Lepisosteus oculatus: one gene and its partners. The protein of the gene in region 3 interacts with the protein of the main gene of each other region in a pairwise test. Links are inferred from orthologs where the notes say so. Each region holds a gene or a part of one and is shown on either strand. Other genes may lie near its edges.

Region 1 (7,970 bases), on a different chromosome or scaffold from region 3:
GAAAAAGAACATTTAATGTAGATGCAATGAAGAGATTTCAAAATAAGACCAGAAAAGTGTTCTAAACTACATATTCACAAAGTTACCCACAGAGAGCAACAAATGTTGATTTTTAATTGTAAAACAATTTAAGCAATAGCTTTTAAATGAAAAGAAACACAGTGAATCCCAAACGTTTAGCAAAACTGTCACCAACTTTATTTTTTTATTTCTGGTTACGATCAGGAGGTGGAGAACTCTAGGTCTGAAAAGCCAACATAACTTCCGTGCGTATTTCGGATGATCTTGTTTGAACAGGGAACAAAAAAAAACGAACCTCTTTAAAAAATGAAAACTAGATATGATGTGCAGACCCAACTTTCTTGAATTTGTTTTTTTTTTTAAACTGTGTTTTGCAGGTTTTTTGTTATGACATGGAAGGAGAGAAACAGCATGTCAAACTAGAAAAAAAGAAATGAGAAGTGAGCTCTTTATTTCTACATGTCTGCAAACAGGAGATCTCAAGTTTCCTACCACATCCTGCCTACCCCACCTCCTTTCGCCAGAAGAAGGAGGGCGAGACTGATGCCGCCTGCCCGTGCCGAGCCGAGCCTGAGCTCGCTGCTGCTCTCCGCACAGCCCCTGCGCGTGAGGGGGATTATCCCGGTCATGGGACCCAATCCCTTCTCAGTCCCCGATTGCCAAGGGACAAGGGACACAGGCAGGTCAGCGCAGCCCGCAGACCAGGTGAACACGGACGTGAGAGAAGCCCACGAAGACGTCAAAATCACCCTCTGTCCTGGCGCCCCTGCAGGCGCCGAGACCCCTGGCCTACTGCTCAAGGGTCCTTCTCAGTCCCTCGGGGCAGACACTGCTGTGGCATCCTTGAGCCAAGGTGCTCTATCTTAATTTAATGTTAACTAGTGCTGGACTAGTGTTACAGTCAGCGAGAGGGATAATATACACTTGGCTGACTTTATGCACCAGGAATCACAGTCATCATGATGCCTCTGAGACACACGTATGCTTTTGGAATATTCTTACTCGATGTTCCCACAGACCCTGCAGACTTTGGCAGCGCTGACCCACCCCCTGTCCCCCCCAAAAATAAACCTCATGTTTTCACTGTCACTTTCACTGTCAAATCATTGTCTTGCACTACCTCCATCCACACTGTTAACAAGGGTTGTGGGTGTCTGGAACAAGCAACACATCCATGTTATTTAGGGTGATACCCTGGTTTCTTTCAAGAAATGGGTGGATAAGATCTGCAGAGTCATTAACTGCTAGAAACCAAACGTGTTAAATGGGTTGGATGGCCTCCCCTTGTTTGCCAAATTTCTTATAGTTTTGTGTTCACTCTCACATGGAGAAACACATCCCCTGAGGCTCCATGGAGTGTCTGAAATGTACAACACAGGTTGTGCCAGACCTGGTACTTTCAATCTCCCCACAGGTGTGGCATGAATTCAGTTTTCACAGGGCTGTGTGGGGCAGACTCAGTCCAGGTCAGGATACTCTCAGAAATACTTTGGTACCAGAGGGGGAAGTGACAATATGTCAAATATAAAATTAGCCATCAACAAAAGCCCCTCTCTGAACAGAATTCCAGGAGCTCCTTGACTGCATCACGGGGCCAGTGCTTCACTGAGTGACTCAGTACGAAATTCGGATGAAAAACGTAAGATGGATGAATGTCTTTCAGCCACAGAGTATTGTCACTTCCTCTTTTGAACAGGTCTGTGGAGCAAGTTGGTTCTGGGCCTTGAACTTCCTCACGGTCAGGATCTGAACCTGGAATGTGCACCCCCTCTCCAAAGTAAAAGACAGAAGCCAATGTTATGATTGATATAATCAATTCTTGCATACTGCAACATAGGCTCATGGGTTTCTTAATAAGGGCATACATATATCTGCATGGTCATTCATTGTCTTCACCTTTCAAACTACAGAAGGAAACTATCTACCTGTGTCTTATTCTGTGAAGCGTTAACTTTCAACAGCGCACGGGATATGGAAACTCCTGAAGTAAGAAATCAGTTTTAATCAAAATGTTTCTTAACCAGCTTGACTTTGCAAAATTCCTTCATTTTCCTCATGAAGAGACAAGAAATGAACTCACTCTTCATCTCTGGTCTTCACTTTTTAAGGCACACACTCTCATAATTGCGTACAAAAGAAAATTTCTGTGCTATGACAAATATTTATTTCAATTGTTTTTTTTTTGTTCTTAAAAGCAAGAGGTTGTCAAATAAGGCCTGGTGGCAACAATAGCACAAATATTTTTAGTTTTTAACTAAAAGCACTATAGGTCTTCATATATATGTCTTCATGGTAGGGTTGTGGACTATTAGAATTAGCTCACAGTTACTAAAGGAATTTCCCTAATAAATAAAGTACAGTTCCTGGAATGTAATTTGAAAGTAATTTTGTTCTTTACAAAATGAGAGAGCACCAAACGTGGTTGATGCTGGGCTTCACACGCAGATAAAACTTTCATCACAGACCATGCTGGCTGAGCCCTGCTGAATATAGACAGAGGATTTCAAATGATGGTGAAAACTGTGAGCAGAGCAGTCACCTGAACCAGGAAATGCACGACACTGAACACAGCAGAGCGAATCCCCTCAAATAAATCCATCTCAGCCCGCCAGGGACCAGACTGATTCCCACTCCAGCCAACTCACTTAAGACTTTTTAAAACCATGCTTGGAAGGGCATCAGTGGCGAGTGAAACTGCATGAGACGACAGCACATCGGAAGTCATAGCACCGAACATCGTCCCTGCAGAACAACATGACACTGCCAGAGTCTCTTCTTTGTCTCTCTTCAGCAACATCCACCAGCAGTAGAAACCTACGCACAACGGACCACACTTACCTTCAACTGTGATTTGGAGACCTTGCCACTCTTCTCCACGTCCAGAGCAGTGAAAGCATACCAGATGGACTTCAGCAACTCCCCTCGTAGCTCCATTACTGCTGCGGCATGACTTTCTTTTTTTCTTGTCTGTTTTTTTTCCCCTCACTAATCAGTTAAGATCTGCATCAACAGCAGCTATATCCGCCCAGCTCCTCACCAGTGTCCCTGAAGAACAAGAGCGCCCCCTGTCTTCTGCACCTTGCACTGCACCCTCCTGCTCCCCGCTCATGAAAACTGCTGATCCACTTAAAAGTCATCACCACCTACAGAAAGAGCCACTTTAAAACAGCTCATTTGTCAAGGAATGTCTCTTTAAAGGTGGAACTTTGTGTCAGTGTTTTTTTTTACTGAACCTACTGTGTACATCAGTTTGAAAGACTCCTGCTGGATCCCTGGAGAGCATCAGGGACCTCTGGTTCTTATTCCAGTTCTGATGTTCATTGATTAATTGAATTTAATTAATTGTTTGGAAAAGAAATGAAATCACTTTTTTTTAAGCCATAAGCAGATGACAATTGAACATAACCTGTAGAACGAACACAGAGGGACTCTGACCCTCATGGACAGGGACTCTGTGTTCTGTGCTGCTCTGCTGAAATATCACTTAGTGAAATACATTCATACTCATTACACAGCTTGAGTATTCTACTGGAGCGATTAGGGTGAGGTGTGTTGTGTAAGGGTACAACAGCTGTTTCTCATCTGGGATTCAAACTCACAACCTTCCAAGTACCAGTACAGAACTTTAACCACTGCTACACAGTCGTCCTGAAAGCACGCCCCACATACTGATGCTGAACGTTCATTCCATCTTGTGTATACAGTGACATATGTTCAAACCCATATTATGCAAGAATACTAATATTTAAAATCATCACTACATGCTAGTCAGTAGCAAGTTAGTGCCATTATGGCCTACATTAAAAACACGAGTTTGTAATTATATTGGGAATTGGCACGTTTCTACAATGCTGTTGCAGACAGATTCATGATCCTATAGAATGACCTTCTGAGGAATTGCTGTGAAGGTAGACAGGGGAGAGGGTGGAAGGCAGTTGGTTTTCAGCTGTGGGGAAGCACACAACTGGAAACTGGTGGGTGGAATGACAATGCTTCCTAGAGAAGTATATACAGAGAAGTATAATATAATACACATATACAGCATATCACATTTGCAGAACTACTGTCGCTGGCAGCCTGTGTCTGCAGTAAGGTTATTACTGACACACTTATTACAATGTGCAGTGCTTGCATTTCAGTAAATGCAACTAAATGCAAATGTAGACATTTTTAGCAAATACAACTTCTTCTAAGTTTGTCAAACTTTCAGTCATTGCACCATGTGACGTTGTAAGGAGTTTTCTGCCAAATGTGGAATACAGGTCACACTGTTCATAATTTCAGGGATTTCAGTTTGTGTCTCCAGCAGTGGAAACCGCATAGCCAAAGTTACTTCCCTAATTATCAGGAACCGTTTGAAAAGAAAGCTCTCGTCAAGAGATACATGATAAAAAAAAGTTTGTGCAACTGACTGCTCAGTTCATGTGTAGTATTTTTTAATGAACCGGAAATCAACCATTAAAAAGAGCAGGTATTAATAGTAAAAGGAATGGGAAATACAGAAATACAGACTGTTCTGCACTCTGCTCCTTTCACCACATAAAACACTCCTGCAGGTACTAAAGGCTTTTCCAAGTTGATCACTTGGAAATTATAAACACACTATTTCTACTGGACTTTAATTTTACTTGACCAAATACCCACTTTGCAGCCTGCCTGATCTGGTCAGATCTTAGATAAGCAGGGCTGGGCTGGGCCTCTAAAGAAAACTTGTTACAGCTGCTCTAAGTGGCATTGGTGAACCAGTAGGTGGTGCTCTCGCCTCTGCAATAGAAATTCCAAACCCCGTGTGGTGACCGGGAGCAGAGAGAGTTGCCACTGTTCATTATGTGTTAGATTAAACTGAGGTCCCTACAACTACATCATTACAGGTCCCAGGCACTGAATGTTAACTTCAGTGTCCTGGCTAAATGCCACTCCGGGCTTGTACAGTCTGACCTACCAGACGTTCACCCGAAATTCAGCCGGTGAAGTGATTTCTCTCCCCTCCTCTCGGTCTGCTGTGCAGTGGGGCTGCTGGGGCAGGACGGCTACTGCTTGTCACCTATCCGGGGGTCACTTCACCCACAGGTCCTGTCGCCTCCTGGAGTATCTGCTGTATCCCCACAGCTCCGGAGCCCGAGCTGGCACCGCTGTGCAGAGCACAAGAAAGTGAACAAACAGGAGGCCATTGGGACACTTGGCTCATTTGTTTTTCCATCCCTCCATTTTCTAACCACTTCATACAATCGAGGGTAGTGGGGAATCATCAGCAAGCAACTGGCGCAGTCGATCACAGGACACGCACACACGCACTGGCACCGGGGGCAAATTTCCCAGAAGCCGGTTAACTATCCGCTTGTCTTTGGACTGTGGAAGGAAACCGTAGCACTCGAAAGAAACCCACGTGAACATGGGGAGAGCATACAAACTTTTGGAACCATCTTTCTACCCTGCTGTCCCATTTTGTCTGTATCTGAATGTTCTGGGGATATCTTCTAGACGTTTCTTGAAAGAAGCCAGGGCGTTGGCTTCAACACGTTGCATGCGAGGGTTGCTACATGCTCCCACAGCTCTTTGTGCGCAAAACAGTACCTCCTGTTCTCGGTTGTAAATGCACCTGCCAGGAAAACCACCGCAATAAAGCAAAGAGTAGTGACAGGAAACTATGTACAATACCTACGCAATAAGAAGGCCTTGTGAGTCCTCGAGGTATTATAGTATTCGTTTTATACATTTTAGGAATTAATGTAGGAAAAGCAATCGAAGCTATCTGTTAAACGGGAAAAAAATATTCCTCTTTATTATTGGTGCGTCATTCACGCTCTGCAGTTGAGGTGACATAGACCAATAGGAATAAGGGAGATGTGTCAGATTTACCAATCGCAAGGAAGCAGGCGTGTCCGGAGGAAGAACAGTCAATGCTCTCTTCCAACGCGAATAGAGACCGCTCGGCTTAAGGAATCCGAACGAATTGACGAAAGGGGAGAAGGTATGTGAACAGGGACCGCTTCTGTATATCGAGTTATTTTATTTTAAAAAGACAATAGGAAAACCTACCTGAGCGGTGCGCGATTGCTTGCAGAACAGTATTTACAATGTCTCCTTGAGTTACCCGAAATCACGGTTTTTTTTGCTTCTGCTGTCAGTGAGGGACCCTAACAATGGTGCTGTGTACAAAACGTATGCTTTGCAGAACAGGTTCCGTTTTGATTTGTAAATTGCACTGTCTTGTGACACTCTAAATGACTATGCTGTCATTTATCTCCTGTCTGTGGGCAGTGGACAGGCATTTACCGACGTGTGCATGAAAGGTGTTTTTGTGTATTTGTATTTTGTATATTGACATGTACAGTATGACTGCCTCTGTGGTCACCACCTTGCGATGCGCCATGACATGTGTGGAGGTGGCGTTTAGTGGGTAGTGAGACGTCTTAAAAACAGATTGTATTCACAAATATCAGACTTAAGATCGCTCGCGTGGTTCATGTAAAAACAATACACACAGCTCAGTTGTTTACTATTTTTAATTCATTGACCTCACATTGTCAGCATTGGTAGGCCCGTGTATGGTCTCGACATTTACTGTAGCTTCGGATGCAGTGACTTAATACTAATAGGGCACTGACTTGCTATCTCACCTCACTTGCTGTCAGACTTTCTGTTTCACCGGACTGAGCGCATATGAAAAAAAAAGGCTGAGATTGGAGCCGATTTACCCGGCCACCTGAAGGACATGCTGTTGCGTGTTTTTTTCTACATTCGATTTTTATTTCTAATTAATTTTATGAGGAATACAAATAATGATCAATAATTGCATTTATAAGTGTTTTACACGCAGGTGACCCAGGGAAGGTGTTCTGCACCAGCTGCCCTGCAGCACATCATGGGTAAGAGGGAGAAACTGCCTCACCAGTTGGGTTGAGGGAAAACTTTAGGTAGGCAAGAGTGGGCAAGCCAAGAGAGCAGTGTAGCCAGGGCACTAGGGATTAACACTCCTAGAGTCCTGGGATCTTCAATGACCAAGAGGTCAGCAGGAGCTGGTCCTGGGTCACTATACTGGGCCATTGCTTTGGAAGTTCTGGTCAAGGGGGGAAAAATCACCAACTCGCCTCAAATCGACAGAAATATATCAGATATGATATATCTGAGGCGTGCGCCGTTGTCCACCTCCAATCTTTAGAGGAGCAGCCAGTTTTTCCTCTGAAGTCTCCTGTTCCAGTACTGACCTAACCAAGCCCTGCTTCTTTTCGGAGATGTGAAGAGATCAACCTGGAAGGTGGCAGCCCTGCTGTCAGAATTCCTCTGCAGCCCAAACTGAGCAAAGTAATCCCTTTAATAGGACTCCCACCCATCCCCACAGAAAGAGCAGAATTATATAAAAACAACTTGCACAAATGTTGAATTCTACATTTAATTTCACAGTATATAGTGTTCAGTAAAATTTCTAGTTTTACATTCGGATTACAACCATTGTGAGATTTTCGCTGGCCTGTGAACAAGTCGGATTAAGGGCTTTTAAAGAGACGCAATGTTCCCTCCCTCCTGAGTTAAATGGATAAATGGAGTTTCTGTAAAATAAGGCTTTTTTAAAAAAGAATTACCAATACACTACACTGTTCTACAAAACACAATTGAAAGCTTTATGCAACACTTGAAGGTTATTTCAGGCCTCTAGTGCGACCCCCATGTACAGTATACTGTGCTGTACAGTATATACAACCACACCTGCGGACAGATTTATACTGTAGGTACACACACAGAATGCAGTCAGGAGACAGTGCAGTACTACGCAAAGGTGCCTCATCACCAGCCCCCAGAATTATACCAGCCCTCTTCTTTTGGTACCAGCTGAGTCGCACCCCAGACTCCGGGCGTGCTGCTCCACTACGTGGCGCTCGGTCTCATCGTTTTGTGCACCAAAGGTCTGAGCAGCGCTTGTGTCCCACAGAGCCCCCTCGTGCGCCGCC
Region 2 (7,769 bases), on a different chromosome or scaffold from region 3:
TGAATACTGTGATCAGCTGGTCCTTTCTGTGTCCAATGGCAGATGACTGAGAAGGGTCTGCGGTTTTGTTCTGACAACGTGCACACTGACACTGTCCAGGCCGGTGTGCCGGGTGTTGCAGACAAAGCCGATGGCACTCGTGATAGTAGGCAGTCTGTGAGGTGAGGGTTGAAAATAGAAGCACAGCGTGAGTTTTCCAGGAAAACAGTAGGGTGGACTGGGGGGGGGGGGTTGTAAACAGGGTGGACAGAGAGGCACTGCTGCTGATGTGATGATATTTTTAATTTGACTAAGAGTAATCAATAAAATCATTCTATAATTCTAATTCTAACTATAAGAATTCTAAATTTCCACCAATCTCATCACATAAAGAAGGGGACCATATCCCCCACTGATGCAACCCCACCTGGGAGACACACAGGGATCATTCTGCACCAGCAGCCCCACCTGGGAGACACACAGGGATCATTCTGCACCAGCAGCCCCACCTGGGAGACACACGGGGATCATTCTGCACCAGCAGCCCCACCTGGGAGACACACAGGGATCATTCTGCACCAGCAGCCCCACCTGGGAGACACACAGGGATCATTCTGCACCAGCAGCCCCACCTGGGAGACACACAGGGATCATTCTGCACCAGCAGCCCCACCTGGGAGACACACGGGGATCATTCTGCACCAGCAGCCCCACCTGGGAGACACACAGGGATCATTCTGCACCAGCAGCCCCACCTGGGAGACACACAGGGATCATTCTGCACCAGCAGCCCCACCTGGGAGACACACGGGGATCATTCTGCACCAGCAGCCCCACCTGGGAGACACACAGGGATCATTCTGCACCAGCAGCCCCACCTGGGAGACACACAGGGATCATTCTGCACCAGCAGCCCCACCTGGGAGACACACAGGGATCATTCTGCACCAGCAGCCCCACCTGGGAGACACACAGGGATCATTCTGCACCAGCGGCCCCACCTGGGAGACACACAGGGATCATTCTGCACCAGCAGCCCCACCTGGGAGACACACAGGGATCATTCTGCACCAGCGGCCCCACTGCACAGTGGATCAGGGGGAGGAGAGAGAAACTGCAGCCCCAGGTGATTTAGGAGAAGTTTCAGTCAGGGGTGCAGATGGTCTGGCTCATCCAGCTGAGAGATCTGTGGAGACCAGTATCTAGAAAACTAGATCCAGGTATTTCACTTTAAAGCTCTCTCAGACTAATAGAGAAGAAAGTAAAGCAAAAATGTAATTTTCTTGTTAAAAACTAACCAGGAATGTTTTATTAAATAATTATTAATTTTATTCTGCTCTCTTAATATGTGTATATACAGTACAGTATATACCATTATAGGCATAAAATATTGTAAAGTTTGTGTTTATTCTGTAATTCTTTGTGAAAAGGAAATAAAGTTCTTAAAAGCAAAATAAGTTAAAAGAATTGAGGGAGTCCAGATTGGATAAAAGCAGGGTGGAATTTTCCAGGACACTGGGGTTAACACTGTGTCCCAAGCTCTAGTGAATATCTAGTCAGGGCTTGAGTGTGACAATCTGAAGGGCGATGCCTCCTACAGCACAGTGTAGGTGTGCTGGGGGATTGCTTTGGACATTCTGAACAGATCCTGAAGAGCGCCTCCTACTGGCCCACCAACAGCCTTTCAGAGTCTGGTTTTCCTTAGAGGTCTCCCATCCCAGTACTGACCTGGACCAGACTGCTTATCTCCTGAGATCTTATCACAATACAGAATACAAGGTGGTAACGCTGCTGCGGTTAGCACAACACAACTTTGAGACTTAGGTTCTGAAGCATAATAACAATTCCATTTACTGCACAACAGCACTACCCCTTTACTGTATCTACAGCCTTCGGTGTTTAGACTTTTAGCTGTTTCCTGCACTGGAAACTCAGGACCCTACTGAACACACTACAGCCCATCACCCCGACACTGAGCTACTGAACACACTGCAGCCCATTACCTGACACTGAACTACTGAAACCACTGCAACCCAGCACACTGACACTGAGATACTGAACACACTGCAGCCCAGCACACTGACACTGAGATACTGAACACACTGCAGCCAAACACACTGACACTCGGCACCTGAAGACACTGCAGCGGAGCACTCTAAAAGTGAACTACTGAACACACCAGCACCCTAACATGGTTGTGGGCGTATGAACAGATACCCTGGCTTCTTTCCCGGAACAGCTGGATGAGACACCCCAGTGAGGACAGGGGGCTCGTCCCCCCACACAGGGCTGTGACAGCTGGGAACAAGCTGCCCAGGCTTGTGGGTGGAGCCGATACCCTGGCTTCTTTCACTTACTGGATGACAACTAGATGACTAGATGGACATACCATTTTTACGTTCTTAACACTGAGCAGCTAGACACACAGAAGCCCCCGGCGGCAGCGCTGTGATTCTGAACACGCAGCAGCTCGGCAGTCCATGACAGTCACTGCACGCCCACTGGCAGCTGTGCACAGCCCTCAGCTCCCGCCCTGAACCCCGCCTGGCCGCCGGTCAGCGTGTCCTCACGCGCTCCACACCGACGAGCTGCCTGCGCCTCTCTGGTGCTGTCCAGCACGCTCCGCACGGACCCGCCCCGGCCAGGACCGGGCCTACCTGTCGAACACCACGGCGGCGAAGCTGGGCTCCGCGAACAGCACGTCTCCGGCCCAGAGCTCCCGGGTGGCCCTCAGCCCGCGGCCCTTGCCCTCCGACTGGAACACCTCGACGCTCTCCATGCTCTCCGGGGTCGCTGCTCACACTGGCCGAGAGGAATGTCCTGCCTGCTCCCTCCCTGACTCGGGCTTTCAACACCTTCTCTGGCCACTCCCCCAGCAGGGCCCGAAATAGACTCGGCCCCCAAGCGCTGCAGCTCCCGGGCGCGGGGGGGGTCGTCCTGCCCGCAAAGCGAGCCCTGAGCACAGCTCACACCCGCGCAGGACCGCGGCCGCCTCTGCACTCACTCCCCCAGGGAGCTCTCTCTCGGGGGGAGACACGGCCAACTGCCGCGGGACCAGGCCCTGCAGGGCTGTGGTGTGTTTCAGCTTCCCCTTGTTTGGGAGAAATTGGGCCGTCCCAGTGTATTTTTAGCAGCCAGAAGTGCCTGCCTGTCACCCGGGGCAGCTGGGAGAGCGTGGGCTGTGTGGCCACCAGCAACCTTTTACCAGAGTGGCGGCCTGAGCCCATTTCCAGAAACCTCCAGAACAAAGAGCTGCCCTCCGCTGCCCTCCCCCACCCCCCGCCACCCCCAGCTCTGGCTGGTCTCACTGACCAGTCCCATCACAGTGTGACAGCAGGGAGAGGGGAGAGAGGGCTCAGCCCAGCCCCGAAGGACAGCAGGGTCTTGGGAAAGGAGGGCAGGGCGGACAGGCAGACCCAGGTCCCATCAGATCCCCAGAACCGGCCTTCGCAGGAACAGCCCCTGGAGACACAGCTCCTCTCGAGCTCCCTGTGAGCTCACAGCTGCTGCTCCTCAGAGACCAGGAGGAAACCCGACACACAGCGCACAGTCACAACAGCCCGCGCCGGGAAGCCTGGAGTCTCTCGGAGACTCTGCTGTTCTTCAAGACTGAAGGCTCACACTATACCGAACGTACCAGGATTTTTTTTACCGCGAGCAGTTTCTGAACCTTTTCTGAACCTCTCAGAGCGCCACAGCAGCGTCCCCGGGCAGTGTCAGTGTGACCCCACACCCCACACTCCTGCAGGACGTACACAGCGCATTCACCCCACTGTCCACCCCTCCACACGCTGGCCAGGCTCAGTCACGTCACCCCTGGTCCGTAGTGCTTCTGCACCCTGATCCTGAGGAGGGACAGGGCCGGGCGCAGGGATCAGGAGGCAGGAGTTCCCAGCCCATCCGCAGGCACAACGCAGGGATGATCCCGATGGATCTTCTTCCACAACAACACCGCAAACAACTTCTTCAATGGATTTTATTTATGACAAAATACTCTCCCGTACACCAGAACACTCACAACTGAGACAAGGGTACTGTGCCCAGATTTTCAGACATCACTGATACATTAATAACAATATCATCAACAATAACAGAACACACGTTCTTAAGGCACTGCACAAACTTCTGAACGCAGACTGGGACCAGAGCCCCTCCCCCTGCCCTGTCCCACCCCACAAGGGGGCGCCACAGCCCAGCCACCACCTGACACACGAGGACGAGAGGGACACAGCTCTCTGCGGCATCCCTCACTGTACGCTGGTTGTGTGCTGAAACACTGGCAGGGCCCAGAGCATAAGAAATCATTAAACAGTAGAAGGTGTGCACACTGCGCATCTCATTGCTGTGAACAATTCCTTTGGACAGAATTGCAGTATCTTTGGGGCTGCCTTCTCTCTCCTAGGGCACCCTACACCCAGCACCCCACAGAGAGGCACAGTCAGAGCCATCAGCTGTAATACAGAGGCCTCAGTAAAGCATGAAAGATTGGTCTCTTCTCTCGTGAACGTGTGCTTCTGAAGCCGTCCTGTCCGGCCGATAAGAAGTCCACTCACTGAGCTTCTCACCACTCAGGAAAAAGCACAGCACACAACCAAAATCAACCAGGTCACTGCAGAGGGGTTACAGAAGCGGGAAAATAAGGCGCAGGACACAGGGTGGGAGACGAGACAGGAGAGACAGGAGCCCACTTCACTGCTCTGCGCTCACAGGCTCCGAGAGTCCAGGTTTGCACAAACAGACAGTTGAGGAATGTGATCTGTACTTCTTCAAACTGGAATGACGACCAGACGTATTCAGTGTTCTGTCCAGCAGCGAGTCAGCTGTATCACTGTTTCAGTAGAGTTGCTGTGGTCCAGTTACAGGTCAGTGGGGTGGCTGTGGTCCAGTTACAGGTCAGTGGGGTGGTCCAGTTACAGGTCAGTGGGGTGGCTGTGGTCCAGCTGCAGGTCAGTGGGGTGGCTGTGGTCCAGCTGCAGGTCAGTGGGGTGGTCCACTTACAGGTCAGTGGGGTGGTCCAGCTGCAGGTCAGTGGGGTGGCTGTGGTCCAGTTACAGGTCAGTGGGGTGGCTGTGGTCCAGCTGCAGGTCAGTGGGGTGGTCCACTTACAGGTCAGTGCACTGGTAGGTTACAGGTCGGTAGTGTAGTGTGGCTCCAGTCTAAATACAGGACAGTACGATGGTCCAGCTGGCGTAGCTGTGTGCTGTGGCGGGGGGGTCTAGATGTCGTAATAGTCGATTTGTGCCCCAGACTGGTACTGGTCCTCGAGCAGCAGCTGCGCCAGCTTGGCACCGGACTGGGAACAGGACAACAGCCCCCCCTTGCTGTGCATGTCGGAAAAGGACTGTCGGACCTGCGCGTCCCCAGTGAGGCTGCGAGCCTGCGTCTGCATGTCCGTGTCCAGAGGGCCTGCAGAGAGAGGCAGCGTCACGTCAGGGAGACAGAACAGAAACACTGAAGTACAGAGAAGGAGAAGGTGCCCACTCACACTTACACCCCCACTGACCTCTCTCCTCCCACTGTCACTCCTATCTCTCTCTCCACCATTCAATTCAAACAGCTTTATCGGCATGACAAAGCATATACAATTGACAAAACATCTACAGACATTTACAATACAGACACATCATAGTGCATGTACATATAAACATATGGAGAATTATTGAGAGACAGGCTCACTATTCCTCAGGCTGGGACAGGAGATCACACACTGTATTATTATTATAGAGAGACAGGCTCACTATTCCTCAGGCTGTGACAGGAGATCACACACTGTATTATTATTATTGAGAGACGGGCTCACTGTCTGTTCCTCAGGCTGGGACAGGAGATCACACACTGTATTATTATTATTGAGAGACAGGCTGACTGTTCCTCAGGCTGGGACAGGAGATCACACACTGAATTATTATTATTGAGAGACAGGCTCACTGTCTGTTCCTCAGGCTGGGACAGGAGATCACACACTGTATTATTATTATTGAGAGACAGGCTCACTATTCCTCAGGCTGTGACAGGAGATCACACACTGTATTATTATTATTGAGAGACAGGCTCACTGTCTGTTCCTCAGGCTGGGACAGGAGATCACACACTGTATTATTATTATTGAGAGACAGGCTCACTGTCTGTTCCTCAGGCTGGGACAGGAGATCACACACTGTATTATTATTATTGAGAGACAGGCTCACTGTCTGTTCCTCAGGCTGGGACAGGAGATCACACACTGTATTATTATTATTGAGAGACAGGCTCACTATTCCTCAGGCTGTGACAGGAGATCACACACTGTATTATTATTATTGAGAGACAGGCTCACTGTCTGTTCCTCAGGCTGGGACAGGAGATCACACACTGTATTATTATTATTGAGAGACAGGCTCACTGTCTGTTCCTCAGGCTGGGACAGGAGATCACACACTGTATTATTATTATTGAGAGACAGGCTTACTGTCTGTTCCTCAGGCTGTGACAGGAGATCACACACTGTATTATTATTATTATTATTATTATTATTATTATTATTATTGAGAGACAGGCTCACTGTCTGTTCCTCAGGCTGTGACAGGAGATCACATACTGGGCTGCCAGTTCAACTGAGTTCCCTCTTCCCTCTCCCAGTAGGTTTGGGAGCTGTTGTGATTCTGGGAGGTGTGGGAACTCTCGGATTAGATTTCTGAATTTAGAGAAGAATGTTTCTCTAATCCCAGAGTATCTGTCACAGTGCAGTAGGAAGTGCACCTGTCTCTACAGTGGGAGCACAGCCTGTCCTCTCTGGGCAGCCAGGTCTGCCTGTGTCGCCCAGTTTCTATGGCCAGGCTGTGGTCACTCAGCCTGTATTTCGTCAGGGTCTGTTTCTTTTTGCTGTTTCTTATCTTGATCAAATATTCAGCTAGTGTCTGTTGTCTGTCTAGGGTTCTGTAGCATTCCAGTTGATGTTGTGTTTGTGTGTGTGTGTGTCCCAGTGTGTGAGATATTGCTGTTTGATCTGTGCTGTGATGTGCTTGTGTCTGAGTTGTGGTGCTCTAGCAGTGCTGTCCTGAGGCTGGTTAGTGTTGGTGTGGCTCAGGTCAGTGAGCCTCAGGACCAGCTGGCTCAGGGGGCTCTGTTTTGGGCTCAGCAGGGCTTCGTGGTGGTAGAGGTTTTGGTTGCTGTTTTTAGGTGTAGCCAATACTTTAATACTCTTTTCTGTATGTTTATCAATAGTGGGTACTGGCCTAATTCGGCCCTGCACCCGTTGTTAGGAGTTTTTCTCTGCACACGGAGGATGTTTCTACAGATCCCATTTGCAGAGTTTCTGTGGGGTGTTTGTCCCATTGAGTGTAATCCTGGTCTGTGAGGGGACCCCACACTTCACTGCCGTATAGGGCAATGGGTTGGATTACACTTTCAAATATTTGGAGCCAGATTCTTGTTGATGGGTTGATGTTGAAAAGCCTCCTTCTTATTGTGTAGCTAGGTGAAAACTCACAGATGAGCTGATAGTCAGACCAATATGTATGTGTAGCTGGATGTGTGCTTCAATGTGTTGTTGAGTGTGAAGTGGTACCTGTTTCCCTGAGATCTGGTTTTCTTCTGGAAAACCATGACTCTGGTCTTGTCCAGATGGGCTGTCAGCGCCCAGGTCTGACAGTCCTGCTCCAGCAGTGCCAGGCTCTGTTGCTGACCCTGTTCTGGGTCCAGATGGGCTGGCAGTGCCCAGGTCTGACAGCACTACTCCAGCAGTGCCAGGCTCTGCTGTTCGGGGTCCAGATGGGCTGTCAGCGCCCAGGTCTGACAGTACTGCTCCAGCA
Region 3 (8,001 bases):
TCTCACTGCGCTACAGTCTCTCTGTCTCACTGATATACAGTCTCTCCGTCTCACTGCTCCACACTGTCTCCCTGCTCTACAGTCTCTCCGTCTCACTGCTCCACACTGTCTCCCTGCTCTACAGTCTCTCCATCTCTCTGCTCCACACTGTCTCCCTGCTCTACAGTCTCCCTGTCTCACTGCGCTACTGTCTCCACTGTCTCACTGCTCTCCACTGTCTCACTGCGCTAGACTGTCTCACTGCGCTACACTGTCTCCCTGTCTCACTGCTCTCCACTGTCTCACTGTGCTGTTGCCATGTGCTATGTGTCTGCTGCCTCTTGATTCATTTTAATGTTTATTTTCTCTTTTACTTACAGATACAAACCTGATGGCTCTGACAGGGAAGGTTCTGATGACCTCAGATCTTGCAAGGCGCTATAATATTCGGGATGTTGATGGTATGAGTAGGATTATCAGTAAGACACAGAAGACTAGTGTCGTTTCTCTCAGTGTGTCTGTATCATTAACGTCTCTCTCTCTCTCTCTCTGTGTTTCTCAGGGCGCAGTGTGTTTGACAACATGTCCGTCAGTTTTCTCGTCTCCCAAGTGCCCTACCTCTCCTGGCTGTCCTCTTTCATCCCTTCTTTCCTGCGTCTTCCCAAGTTTGTTCTCACTCTGCTCCACGGACGGTTCTGACCCAGTAACCCCACTGATCCTACACAGTGATCCCCTGTCCATCGGCACAATGACCTCTGACCCTCACACTGACCCCCTGTCCATCAGCACGATGACCTCTGACCCTCACACTGACCCCCTGTCCATCAGTACGATGACCTCTGACCCCCACACTGACCCCCTGTCCATCAGTACGATGACTCTGCCTGTCCTGTCTGCCCAACACCAGGTCAGCTACCCCACACACACACCCCGCTGACCTCTGACCTTCACACTGACCCCCTGTCCATCAGTACGATGACTCTGCCTGTCCTGTCTGTCCAACACCAGGTCAGCTACCCCACACACACACCCTGCTGACCTCTGACCTTCACACTGAACCCCTGTCCATCAGTACGATGACTCTGCCTGTCCTATCTGTCCAACACCAGGTCAGCTACCCCACACACACCCTGCTGACCTCTGACCTTCACACTGAACCCCTGTCCATCAGTACGATGACTCTGCCTGTCCTATCTGTCCAACACCAGGTCAGCTACCCCACACACACCCCACTGACCTCTGACCTTCACACTGAACCCCTGTCCATCAGTACGATGACTCTGCCTGTCCTGTCTGTCCAACACCAGGTCAGCTACCCCACACACACACCCCGCTGACCTCTGACCTTCACACTGAACCCCTGTCCATCAGTACGATGACTCTGCCTGTCCTGTCTGTCCAACACCAGGTCAGCTACCCCACACACACCCTGCTGACCTCTGACCCTCACACTGACCCCCTGTCCATCAGTATGATGACTCTGCCTGTCCTGTCTGTCCAACACCAGGTCAGCTACCCCACACACACACCCCGCTGACCTCTGACCTTCACACTGAACCCCTGTCCATCAGTACGATGACTCTGCCTGTCCTGTCTGTCCAACACCAGGTCAGCTACCCCACACACACACCCCGCTAACCTCTGACCTTCACACTGAACCCCTGTCCATCAGTACGATGACTCTGCCTGTCCTATCTGTCCAACACCAGGTCAGCTACCCCACACACACACCCCGCTGACCTCTGACCTTCACACTGAACCCCTGTCCATCAGTACGATGACTCTGCCTGTCCTGTCTGTCCAACACCAGGTCAGCTCACCCTGAAGGCTTCCAGTGACTAATAAACAGCATTTTATTTGTCATTAATCCAGCATTGTTCTAAACGTAATGTATTATACTTTGCATTAAAGAAGCTGAAGTAAAGTGTGCTGTACTGCACTAGTTTTACACTCTAAATGTGCGAGTGGTGTTTTTTACAGTTTTATTAAGTGTTACACGGTAATCACAGTAGGAGCTTTGCATTTCTTTCCTTAAGAGGATAACGGTGAAATTGATCATGAAAAACAGGTACAGTGACGGCCACATCAGAGTTCTGTCGGGTTTTAAAGTGTCAATATAATAGTGCTCTAAGAGCTTTGATCTGTGGAGCTGCTCTGAACTATACTAGTGCTTTCAGTGTCTTCTCCACAGTCCTTTCAAACACTCCAGCTCATCTTTCAGGATGAATGTGAACTTCTCTGAGGAGTTCAGCTGATGTGTGGTGAGCGCTCTGGCGCACTATGGTTGCCGTCGGATCATCCAGGTGGGGCTGCACACTGGGGGGGTGGAGGGGATCCCCATTAGCCTGTAAAGCGCTATGAGTGGAGTGTCCAGAAAAGCGCTATATAAGTGTAAGCAATTATTATCATTATAATTATCAATAACAGCTCCCAGAGACCCAGGGAGGAGTGTTCATCACACACGCACACACCCCATCGAAATCAGCTTTCTGTCCAGCGTCAGGACAGGCTGCGATGAGCCCCTCTCTCTGCGATGAGGGAGCCCGACAGGCAGGAGTCCTGAGACGCACACGAGAGGATGGGCATCTGTCTGCGAAAGATACACATCTTGAACTTGAACACAGGGAGAGCTCCTGAACGCAGACAAGAGGTCCTGGCCACAGACGAGAGCTCCTGAACGCAGACAAGAGGTCCTGGAAACAGGTGAGAGCTCCTGAACGCAGACAAGAGGTTCTGGAAACAGGTGAGAGCTCCTGGCCACAGAACAGGAGGAGCTCTTGAACACAGATGAGAGAGCTCTTGTGGACACAGGGGGTTCCACACAGAAGGTACCTGAAGGAACCTCAGACCCGCAGACACCACGCAGACTCCACACAGAAGGTCCCTGGAGGAACCTCAGACCCGCAGACACCACGCAGACTCCACACAGAAGACACCTGGAGGAACCTCAGACCCGCAGACACCACGCAGACTCCACACAGAAGACACCTGGAGGAACCTCAGACCTGCAGACACCACGCAGACTCCACACAGAAGACACCTGGAGGAACCTCAGACCTGCAGACACCACGCAGACTCCACACAGAAGACACCTGAAACCTCAGACCCACAGACACCACGCAGACTCCACACAGAAGGTCCCTGGAGGAACCTCAGACCCGCAGACACCACGCAGACTCCACACAGAAGACACCTGAAACCTCAGACCCACAGACACCACGCAGACTCCACACAGAAGACACCTGGAGGAACCTCAGACCCACAGACACCACGCAGACTCCACACAGAAGGTCCCTGGAGGAACCTCAGACCCGCAGACACCACGCAGACTCCACACAGAAGACACCTGAAACCTCAGACCCGCAGACACCACGCAGACTCCACACAGAAGACACCTGGAGGAACCTCAGACCTGCAGACACCACGCAGACTCCACACAGAAGACACCTGAAACCTCAGACCCACAGACACCACGCAGACTCCACACAGAAGACACCTGAAACCTCAGACCCACAGACACCACGCAGACTCCACACAGAAGACACCTGGAGGAACCTCAGACCTGCAGACACCACGCAGACTCCACACAGAAGACACCTGGAGGAACCTCAGACCCGCAGACACCACGCAGACTCCACACAGAAGACACCTGAAACCTCAGACCTGCAGACACCACGCAGACTCCACACAGAAGACACCTGAAACCTCAGACCTGCAGACACCACGCAGACTCCACACAGAAGGTCCCTGGAGGAACCTCAGACCTGCAGACACCACGCAGACTCCACACAGAAGACACCTGAAACCTCAGACCCACAGACACCACGCAGACTCCACACAGAAGGTCCCTGGAGGAACCTCAGACCCACAGACACCACGCAGACTCCACACAGAAGGTCCCTGGAGGAACCTCAGACCCGCAGACACCACGCAGACTCCACACAGAAGACACCTGGAGGAACCTCAGACCTGCAGACACCACGCAGACTCCACACAGAAGACACCTGGAGGAACCTCAGACCTGCAGACACCACGCAGACTCCACACAGAAGACACCTGAAACCTCAGACCTGCAGACACCACGCAGACTCCACACAGAAGACACCTGAAACCTCAGACCCACAGACACCACGCAGACTCCACACAGAAGGTCCCTGGAGGAACCTCAGACCCACAGACACCACGCAGACTCCACACAGAAGGTACCTGGAGGAACCTCAGACCCACAGACTCCACACAGAAGGTACCTGGTGGTGGAGGGATCCCCATTACCTGTAAAGCGCTTTGAGTGGAGTGTCCGGAAAAGCGCTATATAAGTGTAAGCAATTATTATTATTATTATTAAACCTCACGGCGATTCCACACAAAGGGGACCCTGATCTAGACTCGAGCCGGTGGAGCTGAGGGGGTGGAGGCGATAACCGCCCCCTCCTGGCTAAATACGAAAGACCCAGCGCGTTTACACTGCCGTGCCCGCTCGGAATCGGACCTCTCCGGAGTCACACTCCCTCCCGCTCAGAAACAGCAGAGTAAACTCCGGCCCCCGGCGCTTCATGACCTGGCTTGACTGCACTTCCCAGCTCCAACAGGAGAATTCCGCGGCCGGTGTACAAGGAGGTCGGCGATAAACAGTTAACAGCCTAAATGAAACCAAAATAAACGTACCCCATCCGTAACCGGCAGAAATATGCGCTTTAATATACGAGACGGATGTGTGTATATGCGTTGGTTGCATATTTCACGTTGAGTGTCGTTGTGTACGGTGACGCCCGAGACAAACTGCCGCCCTTGTGGGTGGACAATAAAGCTATATCTTTCCTTCTCTCTTTAAAACCAAAACCTCTTCCAGGAATACCTTCATAAGATGGCGGCCCTCACAGCGCAACCCCCCCCCCTCCCATCACCTTCTGCAACTGCCCTATTCGCTCTACGTTACCTGGAGCACGTACTCCCATCGTTACCCCGCCCCCTGACCCCGCTCGCTCCGCCCCCTTTCTCCCAACTAGTCGGTGCGAGCGGAGTCCCGGCTGCCCCGCGCCGCTACGCCTTTAATGGCAAGCGGGCCCCGCCCCCCGCCGTCACCCCGGGAGACCGAGGCCTAGCTGCCCGAGTTTCCTGCTCCCGCCCGGCCTCGCGTAGCGGCTCAGAACAAAAACACGGCGAGCAGGAGAGAGAGGGACGCAGCGAGCGCCCGGCCGAAAACACGACCCCCCCTCCCCCCCTCGGCAGAAACACGACAACGAGAACGCAGGCGGCCTCCGCCTGCTTTGGAGTTTAAACTCGGGACTTTTATTTAACTTTTTTTTTCTTCTTTAAGAAAAAACACGCCAGCAGTCCGGAGCGGAGGGGGGCGGAGAGACGGACACGCACGCAGACGGTCTCCGGTGTTTGGAAGAGCAGCGGAGCGACACCAGCCGCTGTCCGGCCCCCGCAGACCCCGCACCGCCCGGCGGAGACGCGGCTTCTCCTCGGCGGGGCTCCGGCGGAGGGGAGACGGCCGGGAGAGCCGGAGACGCCGCGACCTCAGCCTCCCCGTGAGTCCGGCTCCGCCGCCTCGCTGCCCCGCTGTCCGCGCACACGGCGCCGGGACAATAGTGAGCCCCGCCGGGGTGGCTGGGGTGCCTGTTGTCGTTGTTGTTGTTTTGGGGGTGCTGCGCCGTGATGGCGATGTGATGGCGTGTCTGTGTGGCCGCGGGGGGAGCGGGCTTGCAGGGGCTGTACAGACGGGGCCTCTCGCTGACCTGCCCCCCCCCCCGTAGGACCCCCGGGCCAGTCCGGGCTGGGGGGGCTGGGGGCGCCCCGGGGGTGGCCGTGGCGAGTGCGAGCGAGGCTGCGGGACGGAGCCGAGTGTATGTGTGTGTGTGAGATGGTGGCCCGATGACCGTGTGTCCACCTCCCCCCGCCCCCGTGTCCGGAGCAGGGGCTGTCCGCCCCGGTGCCCACCCGGCCGTGGAACTCTCTCGCGGGGTGAATCGTCTTCCGGGGGCCCAGCGGAAACAGCTGCTTCTGCTGGGGGGGGTGTTTGTGTCCGTGAGCTGTGCGTGGGAGGGGATTCCGTGACTGCTTTCGCCCGCGGCCGTGCTCCGCTAGCGTGACTTTGAGGCGGTATCCTTCTGATAACCTGCGTCAGAGGGAGAACAAACATGTTGTTTTTGGAGGGGTACGGGTCTACGGCTTGTTGGTGAGGTGGACGAAGAGATCGGCCGATCAGAAAGTTACCAGTTAGTCGTTCCGAGGGTCTCAGACAGCTGTGTCCAGTTCAACAACATGGCTGGGCAGCTTGTCCCCCACCCCCCTCTGTGTAAAGAAGAGCCTCCTGTCCTGACTGGAGGGTCTCACCCAGCTGTGTCTGGAGAGAAGCCAGGGTATCGGCTTCAACAACAGGGCTGGGCAGCTTGTTCCCCACCCCCACCACCCTCTGTGTAAAGAGGAGCCTCCTGTCCTGACTGGAGGGTCTCACCCAGCTGTGTCTGGAGAGAAGCCAGGGTATCGGCTTCAACAACAGGGCTGGGCAGCTTGTTCTCCACCCCCACCACTGTCTGTGTAAAGAAGAGCCTCCTCTCATCTTCCTTATTAATAATTGGCTTCGTGGACCAGTATAGCAGCTCCTCAGGTGATGCTGTTGTTGCTTTCAGGAGACCTACAAGTCCTGCAGGCACAGCACCCACAATTTGTTGAAACATTATCATACGTACCCTCTCGACCACTGACACAGCTCTGATCATAATCTCAGTTAATAACTAATCCCTTACTGCAACTTGTATCGGTCTTGCTTTCGGGGTTACTGCGTGTCTTCATGTTTAATACTGCTGTGTTTACTTTGTATTAATAACGCCAGTGTCAGTGTGTCTGTATGAACCCCTCTCTCTCAGTGCAGTGTTAATGTACTGGAGTGTCCAGTCAGTCAGTGTGTCTGTATGAACCCCTCTCTCTCAGTGCAGTGTTAATGTACTGGAGTGTCCAGTCAGTCAGTGTGTCTGTATGAACCCCTCTCTCTCAGTGCAGTGTTAATGTACTGGAGTGTCCAGTCAGTCAGTGTGTCTGTATGAACCCCTCTCTCTCAGTGCAGTGTTAATGTACTGGAGTGTCCAGTCAGTCAGTGTGTCTGTATGAACCCCTCTCTCTCAGTGCAGTGTTAATGTACTGGAGTGTCCAGTCAGTCAGTGTGTCTGTATGAACCCCTCTCTCTCAGTGCAGTGTTAATGTACTGGAGTGTCCAGTCAGTCAGTGTGTCTGTATGAACCCCTCTCTCTCAGTGCAGTGTTAATGTACTGGAGTGTCCAGTCAGTCAGGGTGTCTGTATGAACCCCTCTCTCTCAGTGCAGTGTTAATGTACTGGAGTGTCCAGTCAGTCAGTGTGTCTGTATGAACCCCTCTCTCTCAGTGCAGTGTTAATGTACTGGAGTGTCCAGTCAGTCAGTGTGTCTGTATGAACCCCTCTCTCTCAGTGCAGTGTTAATGTACTGGAGTGTCCAGTTAGTGTGTCTGTATTAACCCCTCTCTCTCAGTGCAGTGTTAATGTACTGAAGTGTCCAGTTAGTGTGTCTGTATTAACCCCTCTCTCTCAGTGCAGTGTTAATGTACTGAAGTGTCCAGTCAGTGTGTCTGTATGAACCCCTCTCTCTCAGTGCAGTGTTAATGTACTGGAGTGTCCAGTCAGTCAGTGTGTCTGTATTAACCCCTCTCTCTCAGTGCAGTGTTAATGTACTGGAGTGTCCAGTCAGTCAGTGTGTCTGTGTTAACCCCTCTCTCTCAGTGCAGTGTTAATGTACTGGAGTGTCCAGTCAGTCAGTGTGTCTGTATGAACCCCTCTCTCTCAGTGCAGTGTTAATGTACTGTAGTGTCCAGTCAGTGACTATAGGAAACCATAACGGCCTTTTTGTCATCACTTAACAGAACATCCCATTGCGAGGGGGGGAGTTTGTTTGCTGAGCACAGTGCCTCCTTGTTGTTGGACAGAGAAGACCAGAAGAGAACAAGACATCTTTTCCCCCCTCCCTTCTCCCCATCCCTTCGGCTGAA
Region 4 (7,965 bases), on a different chromosome or scaffold from region 3:
CTCCCACACACACACTCACACTCACACCCAGAGCACAGCGCTCACTCCCACACACACACACCCAGAGCACAGCGCTCACTCCCACACACACACTCCCACCCAGAGCACAGCGCTCACTCCCACACACACACTCACACTCACACCCAGAGCACAGCGCTCACTCCCACACACACACTCACACCCAGAGCACAGCGCTCACTCCCACACACACACACCCAGAGCACAGCGCTCACTCCCACACACACACTCCCACCCAGAGCACAGCGCTCACTCCCACACACACCCTCACACCCAGAGCACAGCACTCACTCCCACACACACACACACTCACACCCAGAGCACAGCGCTCACTCCCACACACACTCCCACCCAGAGCACAGCGCTCACTCCCACACACACACACACTCACACCCAGAGCACAGCGCTCACTCCCACACACACACTCACACCCAGAGCACAGCGCTCAATGTGAGATACACACACCGGAGCCTGTATTTGGATTTGATGATGACAGTGATGTGTTTGAGCTGGACAGGGTGTCTGCTCCAGCTGCCTGTTCCTCTCTCTCCCTCTGTCCTGTGCCTCAGGTCCAGGTGAGTCCCCTGTGACTCTGTCCGGCTGTGTCAGTGCAGACAGAGCTCTCATTCCACGACCAGCCAGCCCCCGACCGAGTCAACAGGCCAGAACAAGCTGCACAGCTCACCTCTCTCTCGGCTGCTTTCTGTCTTCTCTTCTTCTCCCTTTCTGGCTGGGTGTGCTGCTCTCTGTTCCCTCTGTCATGCGTCTCTCTCTCCCTCTGTCCCTGTCCCTGTGTCTGTCTGTCCTTGGCAGCGTGAGACCGAAGCTGTTTTGAGGGGAATGGAATGTCCCCCCCCAGTTCCAAATACAGACACCCCCACTCCTAAAATATCCTCCAGCCCAGTCAGCTGACATCCCCTTAGGTGGGACAGAGCCAGAAAGGCAATTAACCCTTGAGGCCCTGAAACAGACAGTTGTGCTTGTTCAGCTGTGTTTTTGTCCAGCTCTGACGGGGCAGCGCAGGACTGGACACGCCGCCCAGACGCACACGGCCTGCCCCCTGACCAGCACAAGAAGGAGGGTGCAGGATGCTGGCGTTCCCGAACTATTACTGGGCACTTTCAGAGGTGAGGAGACACCGTTCCTTTCCTCTAGGCTGAGGTTTTCCAGCGCTGGAGAGAGATCACATCAACTCCACAGCCATCTTCCCCCCCCTTGAGAAACACAGTAGCTCCCAGTCTCAGCACTCAGGGGGACCTGTTCAATCATGTAAAAACAGTGCAAAAGAAATTCACGCAGTGGACTTTGATTGGGGAGCAGGACGGTGCCACAGCACTGAGGCCCTGGGTTCGATTCTGGACGTCGGGTGTCTGTGTGGAGTTTGCATGTTCTCCTCATGTTCTCTATTCACATCGGTTTCCTCCCACAGTCCAGAGTCATGCTGGTGTGTGTGTGTCCTACGATGGACAGGGTGTCCCGGCTGGACCCTGCTTTGTGTGATTAAAGAATCAAAAGGCAAAACATACAATAGAAATATGTAAAAAGCATTATTTTCAGCTTTCATAATAATAATAATAATAATAATTGCTTACACTTATATAGCGCTTTTCTGGACACTCCACTCAAAGCGCTTTACAGGTAATGGGGATCCCCTCCACCACCACCAATGGTAAATGGTAAATAATGGTAAATTCCTCGGTCTGTGAAGTTTGCCTATTTCTGTATTTCTCATTTTTTGTATTTCTGCTGTTTAAATAAAAACTTAAAAATTAAAGCTAAACAGAATCTCTTCCTATTGGTTTTGATGACGTTTACAAGCCATTTCCGCTCCCAGGTATCCCACAATGCACCTTTCGTTCCTGAACACCATAGAATTACTGTTTACCCTGGAAATGTAACAAGCGTCAGTCATTTTGCTTCAGCCCCACTAGCCAAAGGATATTTGTAACAGTTACGTACTAAATAATTGTGAGGTATAAAAAAGCAATTTACGTTGTTGTTAATCGTTGTTTATCTCATCGTTAAAACTGGAAAGTTGGTGAGGTACTGAGTGACCGCAGTAAAATGGTGTAACAGTCAGCGCATTTAAGGTCATGTGATAAATAGAATTGGCCTATCTAGTACTTTCTGGGATAGTCATGCCCTCCCCCCACACGCCATGTCATCTGTGGGCATGGATGAAGCCATGCGGCAGTGAGGGCAACTCCGTTGCGTCGTCGGCAGGGCACAGCTAAGCACGTTCCGGGTGAGGGTGCCAGCAGTAAAGATGGCGGAGGACTTGCTGGAAACGGTGGACAGGCTGCAGTCCAGGCTGTCGGACAACCAGGAACCCAGAAAGGTAAAGACCTGGGCTACCGAAGAAGGCATGGGTGCTAGCGGGGACAGGGTAGGCGGACAGCATTGCATCGCCCTCTCAGCTGGACAGTGTAGCGTCGATTGTCTGTCTTTTTTCTAGATCACGTCACGGTTTATAGTAATAAAGCGACGGTCTGTGGAGCGCAGGTCGTGTCTGCGGTATCGGGCAGGACGGGTACTAGCTCTGCACGGCGCTCGGCTGCAGAGTCCGGCCGGCAGCACTCGCCGGAAATCTGGACACGGGATCGACCTGTCCGTCAGTGTCCGGCCGGGAGCGAGCGCTTGTCCGGGGGGGGGGCGGTTGTGCTCGCTCTGCTCTCCAGCGCACTACCACGGTGACCCAATCCGTGCCGTAAACACAGACTCCACGCACAAGTCCCCGACCGTCTCCCCCTCCCCCCCGACGTGGGCAAACTGAGTGACAATAACAACATAATTTCCGTTTCGTCCATGACGTCACGAGGTGGTAGACGACGACAGCGCGCGCGGACGTACCTGATGCGTGCGCGAGCTGCGCGGCCTCCAGCTGCTGCACAACGCCAAGCACAAACAGGAGCAGTCCTGAGCCGGGTGCAGCGCAGTGCTTGCGCAGGCAGGCCTGATTTACCCACAGACCTACCACACGCAATCATGTAGAGGTTCTGTTTTTCGTCGGCTGCGATGGCAGAGAGGTTAAGGCGTTGGCCTCGAAATCCAACAGGGTCTAACCACGCAGGTTCGAACCCTGAGCCAGCAGCCATGTCATCCTGCAGCTCACAGCTGGCAGCCCATTGAAGCTCAGCAGGTGTGAGTATCTGGATGGGAGACCTCCTGGGAAAAACTAAGGCTGCTGCTGGAAGAGGTGTTAGTGGGGCCAGTAGGGGGTGCTCACCCTGCAGTCTGTGTGTGTCCTAATGCCCCAGTATAGTGACGGGGACACTGTACTGTAAACAGGCGCCGTCCTTCGGATGAGACGTAAAACTGAGGTCCTGACTCTCTGTGGTCATTAAAAATCCCAGGGCGTCTCTTGAGATGAGTAGGGGTGTAACCCCGGTGTCTTGGCCACATTTCCCATTGGCCCTTACCAATCATGGCCTCCTAATAATCCCCATCTCTGAACTGGCTTCATCAATCTATCAGTCAATCAATGAAGGTTTATTGATCGATGGACGAACAGTACAGCACAGAGCGGTGTTGTCGGCAGTGAAATGCTTTGTCCGCGAGCTCGTTAAGAGGGACAGGAGAGTAGAAGAACAGGAATTTATAGGGATTAGATTAACATTAGAATACAATAAATGACACAATTGCAATTTACAATACAATCACAGATTGTGCGAAAGTAGCACAGGGATAGGAGGTATTTAGCGCTCTTGGTATGTGTCCTGAGAGTGACAGGAGGGCCTGTTCGCCAGCGGCCGTTGGGGTAACTGCAGGCGTCTGCTGTGGTTGGCTGCTTAGGAGTCTTACTGCTGAAGAAGCTGTTCCGACACTTGGTGGTCTTGGTCCGGACACTTCGGTACCGGTGCCCAGATGGTAGCAGAGAGAGCAAGTTGTGGTGAGAGTGACTGGGGTCCCTGGGGACAGTCCTGGCCTTCTTGAGGCGTCTAACAGAGGAGTTACCCCGATGTTCCGTAGCGCAGTTGGTGGCGTTTGGCGCCGGTTTCACCCCCCTCTGGAGGACCCTGAGCTCTCGGGCGGAGCAGTTACCACACCAGGCAGGGGTGCAGCCGGGTAGGATGCTCTCAGTGGTGCAGCTGTAGAAGCTGGTCAGGATGTGAGACGGATTAACTTCTTTAATCTGCGGACAGAGAAAGCTGCCGTGCTGTCTTGGCTACGAGGTTGGTGTGGTGGGTCCAGGTTAGATCGTCTGTGATGTTGACACCTGGGAATATGAGACTGTTGACTCTCTCCACTGCGGACCTGCTGATGTGAATGGGTGTGTGGTCTGTTCCTCGGACAAAACTACCATCAGCTGCTTAGTTTTGCTGGTGTTGAGAGAAAGGTTGTCCTGACTTCATGCCTCCTCCCTGTACGCGGACTCATCACTGTTCGGGATCAAGCCGATGATCGTTGTAATAATAATAATAATAATATATTATTGCTTACACTAATATAGCGCTTTTCTGGACACTCCACTCAAAGCACTTTACAGGTAATGGGGATCCCCCCCACCACCACCAGCGTGCAGCCCCACCTGGATGATGCGACAACAGCCATAGTGCGCCAGAACGCTCACCACACACCAGCTCTCAGTGGGGAGGAGAGCAGAGTAATGAAGCCAGTTCAGAGATGGGGATTATTAGGAGGCCATGAGTGGTAAGGGCCAATGGGAAATTTGGCCAGGACACCGGGGTTACCCCCCTACTCTTTTCTAGAAACGCCCTGGGATTTTTAATGACCACAGAGAGTCAGGACCTCGGTTTTACATCTCATCTGAAGGACAGCACCTGTTTACAGTATAGTGTCCCGTCACTATACTGGGGCATTAGGACCCACACAGACCGCAGGGTGAGCACCCCCTGCTGGCCCCACTAACACCTCTTCCAGCAGCAACCTTAGTTTTTCCCAAGAGGTCTCCCATCCAGGTACTGACCAGGCTCACACCTGCTGAGCTTCAGAGGGCTGCCAGTTGTGAGCTGCAGGGTGATATGGCTGCTTGATATGGTTGTATCATCCGCGAACTTAATGATGGAGTCTGTTTTGTTCCTGGCGACGCAGTCGTGGGTGAAGAGGGAGTAGAGGTGAGGGCTGAATAAGCAGCCCTGGGGAAGGTTGCCGGTTCGAATCCCGCGGCCGGCAGAGGAATTCTACTCTGTTGAGCCCCTGAGCAAGGCCCTTAACCCCAACTGCTCCAGGGGCGCCGTATAAATGGCTGACCCTACGCTCTGACCCCCAGCTTCTCTCCCTGTCTGTGTGTCTCATGGAGAGCAAGCTGGGGTATGAGAAAAGACAGATTCCTCATACAAGAAATTAAAGTGATCTTTCTGATTTGGGTATGTGCGAACAGTGATCCTTGGGACAACATCTTCTGTACATTTGCTGATGTAGCCAGTAGCGTAGTCTGCGTACAGATTAATGTAGTTCCCTGCAGCTTCACAAAAAATCTGCCAGTCAGGGGTGGCAAAGCAGTGGCTTAGAACAGGGTCCGATTCCTCCGACCGGCGCTGGGTGGTCCCTGTCACAGGCTTCTCCTGCTGGAGTTTCTGCCTACAGGCAGGGAGTAGCAGGATGGAGGTGTGATCGGATTTGCCGAAAGGAGGTTGGGGGAGGGCTTTGTAGCCATCCTGGAGGGGAGTGTAAACACTGTCCAACGTGTTTGTTTTGCGCGTCGGGCAGTCGATGTGCTGATGCAGGTTAGGCTTGAGTTTCTTCTGATCCCCCGCTGTGACGGATGAGTCCTCGGGGTGAGTTCTCATGTCTGCCTAGGTGTTGGTGTAGCTCCTCCAGGGCTCTGCGGCGCAGTACACACCGCCGTGAGGACCAGTGTACACTGGTGTACATAGAAGGGGCGACATTTAATTGTCAGGTGTTCAGGATGTGGGGGCGTGACGATGAACTGGTCTGTGCACCAGGAGTTATTCCTCCACCCTGATCTTCCCCGAGTCCGTTGTCCTGTCCTGACGGAGCACGGAAAACCCTCTCGGATCGACAGCGGTGTCCAGAGGGGCTGCAGCCCGTGCAGCTTGTTGTCCAGGGATCGAACTTGCTCGGAAGCGCAGGGCGATTCCAGTGTTGTCTCAGTCTTACCAAGACCCCGACCCGCCTACCTCTCTTCCTGCACCGTTGCCCTCGGGAACAGGTGCGCTTGAAACTGTAGGCCAGGTAATCCATTGCCATATTGGGTGCAGACCTCGCTGAGCCGACAGTTGATCTTATGTCCATTAGCGTTTGTCGGTCATAGCTGATCATCGAGCAAGCATTGTGTACAGCTAACAGTGTAAAAGACAGCATAAAGAGAGGAAAAGACAAAAACGGACGGGAGACATCTTACACGCTGTCCTCTCTCGCTCTCCTCCCCACTGAGAGCTGGTGTGCGGGGAGCGGACTGGCGCATCATCCAGGTGGGGCTGCACACTGCTGGTGCTGGAGGGGATCCCCACGACCTGTAAGGAGCTTTGAGCGCTGTGTGCAGATAAGCGCTATATTAGTGTAAGGAATTTTCACTATGTGCTGAGTGTAAATAAAGACATTTATATGTGAAGCCTGGGCAGTGTCCCAGCCTCTGCTCTGAGTTAATCAAACCCCAGTTTTTATGAATCGATCAGTTATATCTGCGCTGGGCCCAGACCGGCCCGCCTGGGCCCGCTGGGTCTGGACCGGCCGCCTGGGCCCCCGCTGGGTCTGGACCGGCCCGCCTGGGCCCGCTGAGTCCTGATGTTGTTTGTTTTCTCTGTGTCTATGCAGCTGCTCAAGACTCTGAAGAGACTGGGAGAGCTCCCCATCACTGTGGACATCCTGGTGGTGAGAGACTCACTGCGGGCCGCACTCTTCCTCCCTTGTAGTGGACCGTACTCTTCCTCCCTCACCGTGGACAGTACTCTTCCTCCCTCACTGCAGACAGTACTCTTCCTCCCTCACTGTGGACAGTATTTTTCTTCCCTCACCGTGGACAGTACTCTTCCTCCCTCACTGTGGACCGTATTCTTCCTCTTACCTTCTCCCTCTCTGCCTGCAGGAGACAGGGGTGGGCAAGGCAGTGAACTCCCTGAGGAAGCATGAGCATGTGGGGGAGACGGCCAAGAGCCTGGTGGCCAAGTGGAAGAAGCTGGTGCCTCAGGCGGTGGACAGGTGCGTACTGGGAATGCTGGAGAACTGGGAGGGGGGAGCAGAGTGAATTGGGCTGGAGAGTGAGTCTGTAGTGGAGTCTGTTCTGACAGCTCAGCTCCAGGTGTGTCTGAGCTCCAGCCTCTCTCTCTGTGCAGCTGAGCTCCAGGTGTGTCTGAGCTCCAGCCTCTCTCTGTGCAGCGGAGCTCCAGGTGTGTCTGAGCTCCAGCCTCTCTCTCTGTGCAGCGGAGCTCCAGGTGTGTCTGAGCTCCAGCCTCTCTCTCTGTGCAGCGGAGCTCCAGGTGTGTCTGAGCTCCAGCCTCTCTCTCTCTGTGCAGCGGAGCTCCAGGTGTGTCTGAGCTCCAGCCTCTCTCTCTGTGCAGCGGAGCTCCAGGTGTGTCTGAGCTCCAGCCTCTCTCTCTCTGTGCAGCGGAGCTCCAGGTGTGTCTGAGCTCCAGCCTCTCTCTGTGCAGCGGAGCTCCAGGTGTGTCTGAGCTCCAGCCTCTCTCTCTGTGCAGCGGAGCTCCAGGTGTGTCTGAGCTCCAGCCTCTCTCTCTGTGCAGTGGAGCTCCAGGTGTGTCTGAGCTCCAGCCTCTCTCTCTCTGTGCAGCGGAGCTCCAGGTGTGTCTGAGCTCCAGCCTCTCTCTCTGTGCAGCGGAGCTCCAGGTGTGTCTGAGCTCCAGCCTCTCTCTCTGTGCAGCGGAGCTCCAGGTGTGTCTGAGCTCCAGCCTCTCTCTCTGTGCAGCTGAGCTCCAGGTGTGTCTGAGCTCCAGCCTCTCTCTCTGTGCAGCTGAGCTCCAGGTGTGTCTGAGCTCCAGCCTCTCTCTCTGTGCAGCGGAGCTCCAGGTG

What was found.
Region 1: the proteins of homeza (region 3) and differentially expressed in FDCP 6 homolog interact in binary tests that used the Homo sapiens proteins (3 or more experiments, as listed by UniProt). The two-hybrid records come from large-scale screens. The link is inferred for Lepisosteus oculatus from reciprocal best matches to the Homo sapiens genes HOMEZ and DEF6.
Region 2: the proteins of homeza (region 3) and smyd1b interact in binary tests that used the Homo sapiens proteins (3 or more experiments, as listed by UniProt). The link is inferred for Lepisosteus oculatus from reciprocal best matches to the Homo sapiens genes HOMEZ and SMYD1.
Region 4: the proteins of homeza (region 3) and eloa interact in binary tests that used the Homo sapiens proteins (3 or more experiments, as listed by UniProt). The two-hybrid records come from large-scale screens. The link is inferred for Lepisosteus oculatus from reciprocal best matches to the Homo sapiens genes HOMEZ and ELOA.

What each region holds. Positions count from the first base shown.
Region 1 is NC_090700.1:37,020,944-37,028,913, reverse strand, and holds the start of differentially expressed in FDCP 6 homolog, read right to left. Parts: upstream 3,016-7,970; 5' UTR 2,956-3,015; coding exon 2,860-2,955; intron 1-2,859.
Region 2 is NC_090698.1:74,659,429-74,667,197, reverse strand, and holds the start of smyd1b (histone-lysine N-methyltransferase Smyd1), read right to left. Parts: upstream 3,016-7,769; 5' UTR 2,759-3,015; coding exon 2,637-2,758; intron 1-2,636. Other genes in the region: sepiapterin reductase, read right to left, coding at 5,195-5,385. UniProt on the Homo sapiens protein: Methylates histone H3 at 'Lys-4' (H3K4me), seems able to perform both mono-, di-, and trimethylation. Acts as a transcriptional repressor. Essential for cardiomyocyte differentiation and cardiac morphogenesis.
Region 3 is NC_090699.1:13,251,321-13,259,321, forward strand, and holds the start of homeza (homeobox and leucine zipper encoding a), read left to right. Parts: upstream 1-4,994; 5' UTR 4,995-5,513; intron 5,514-7,875; 5' UTR 7,876-8,001. Other genes in the region: dhrs1 (dehydrogenase/reductase SDR family member 1), read left to right, coding at 360-440, 542-678. UniProt on the Homo sapiens protein: May function as a transcriptional regulator.
Region 4 is NC_090706.1:306,295-314,259, forward strand, and holds the start of eloa (elongin-A), read left to right. Parts: upstream 1-4,955; 5' UTR 4,956-5,903; coding exon 5,904-6,151; intron 6,152-6,378; coding exon 6,379-6,457; intron 6,458-6,756; coding exon 6,757-6,813; intron 6,814-7,027; coding exon 7,028-7,140; intron 7,141-7,965. UniProt on the Homo sapiens protein: SIII, also known as elongin, is a general transcription elongation factor that increases the RNA polymerase II transcription elongation past template-encoded arresting sites.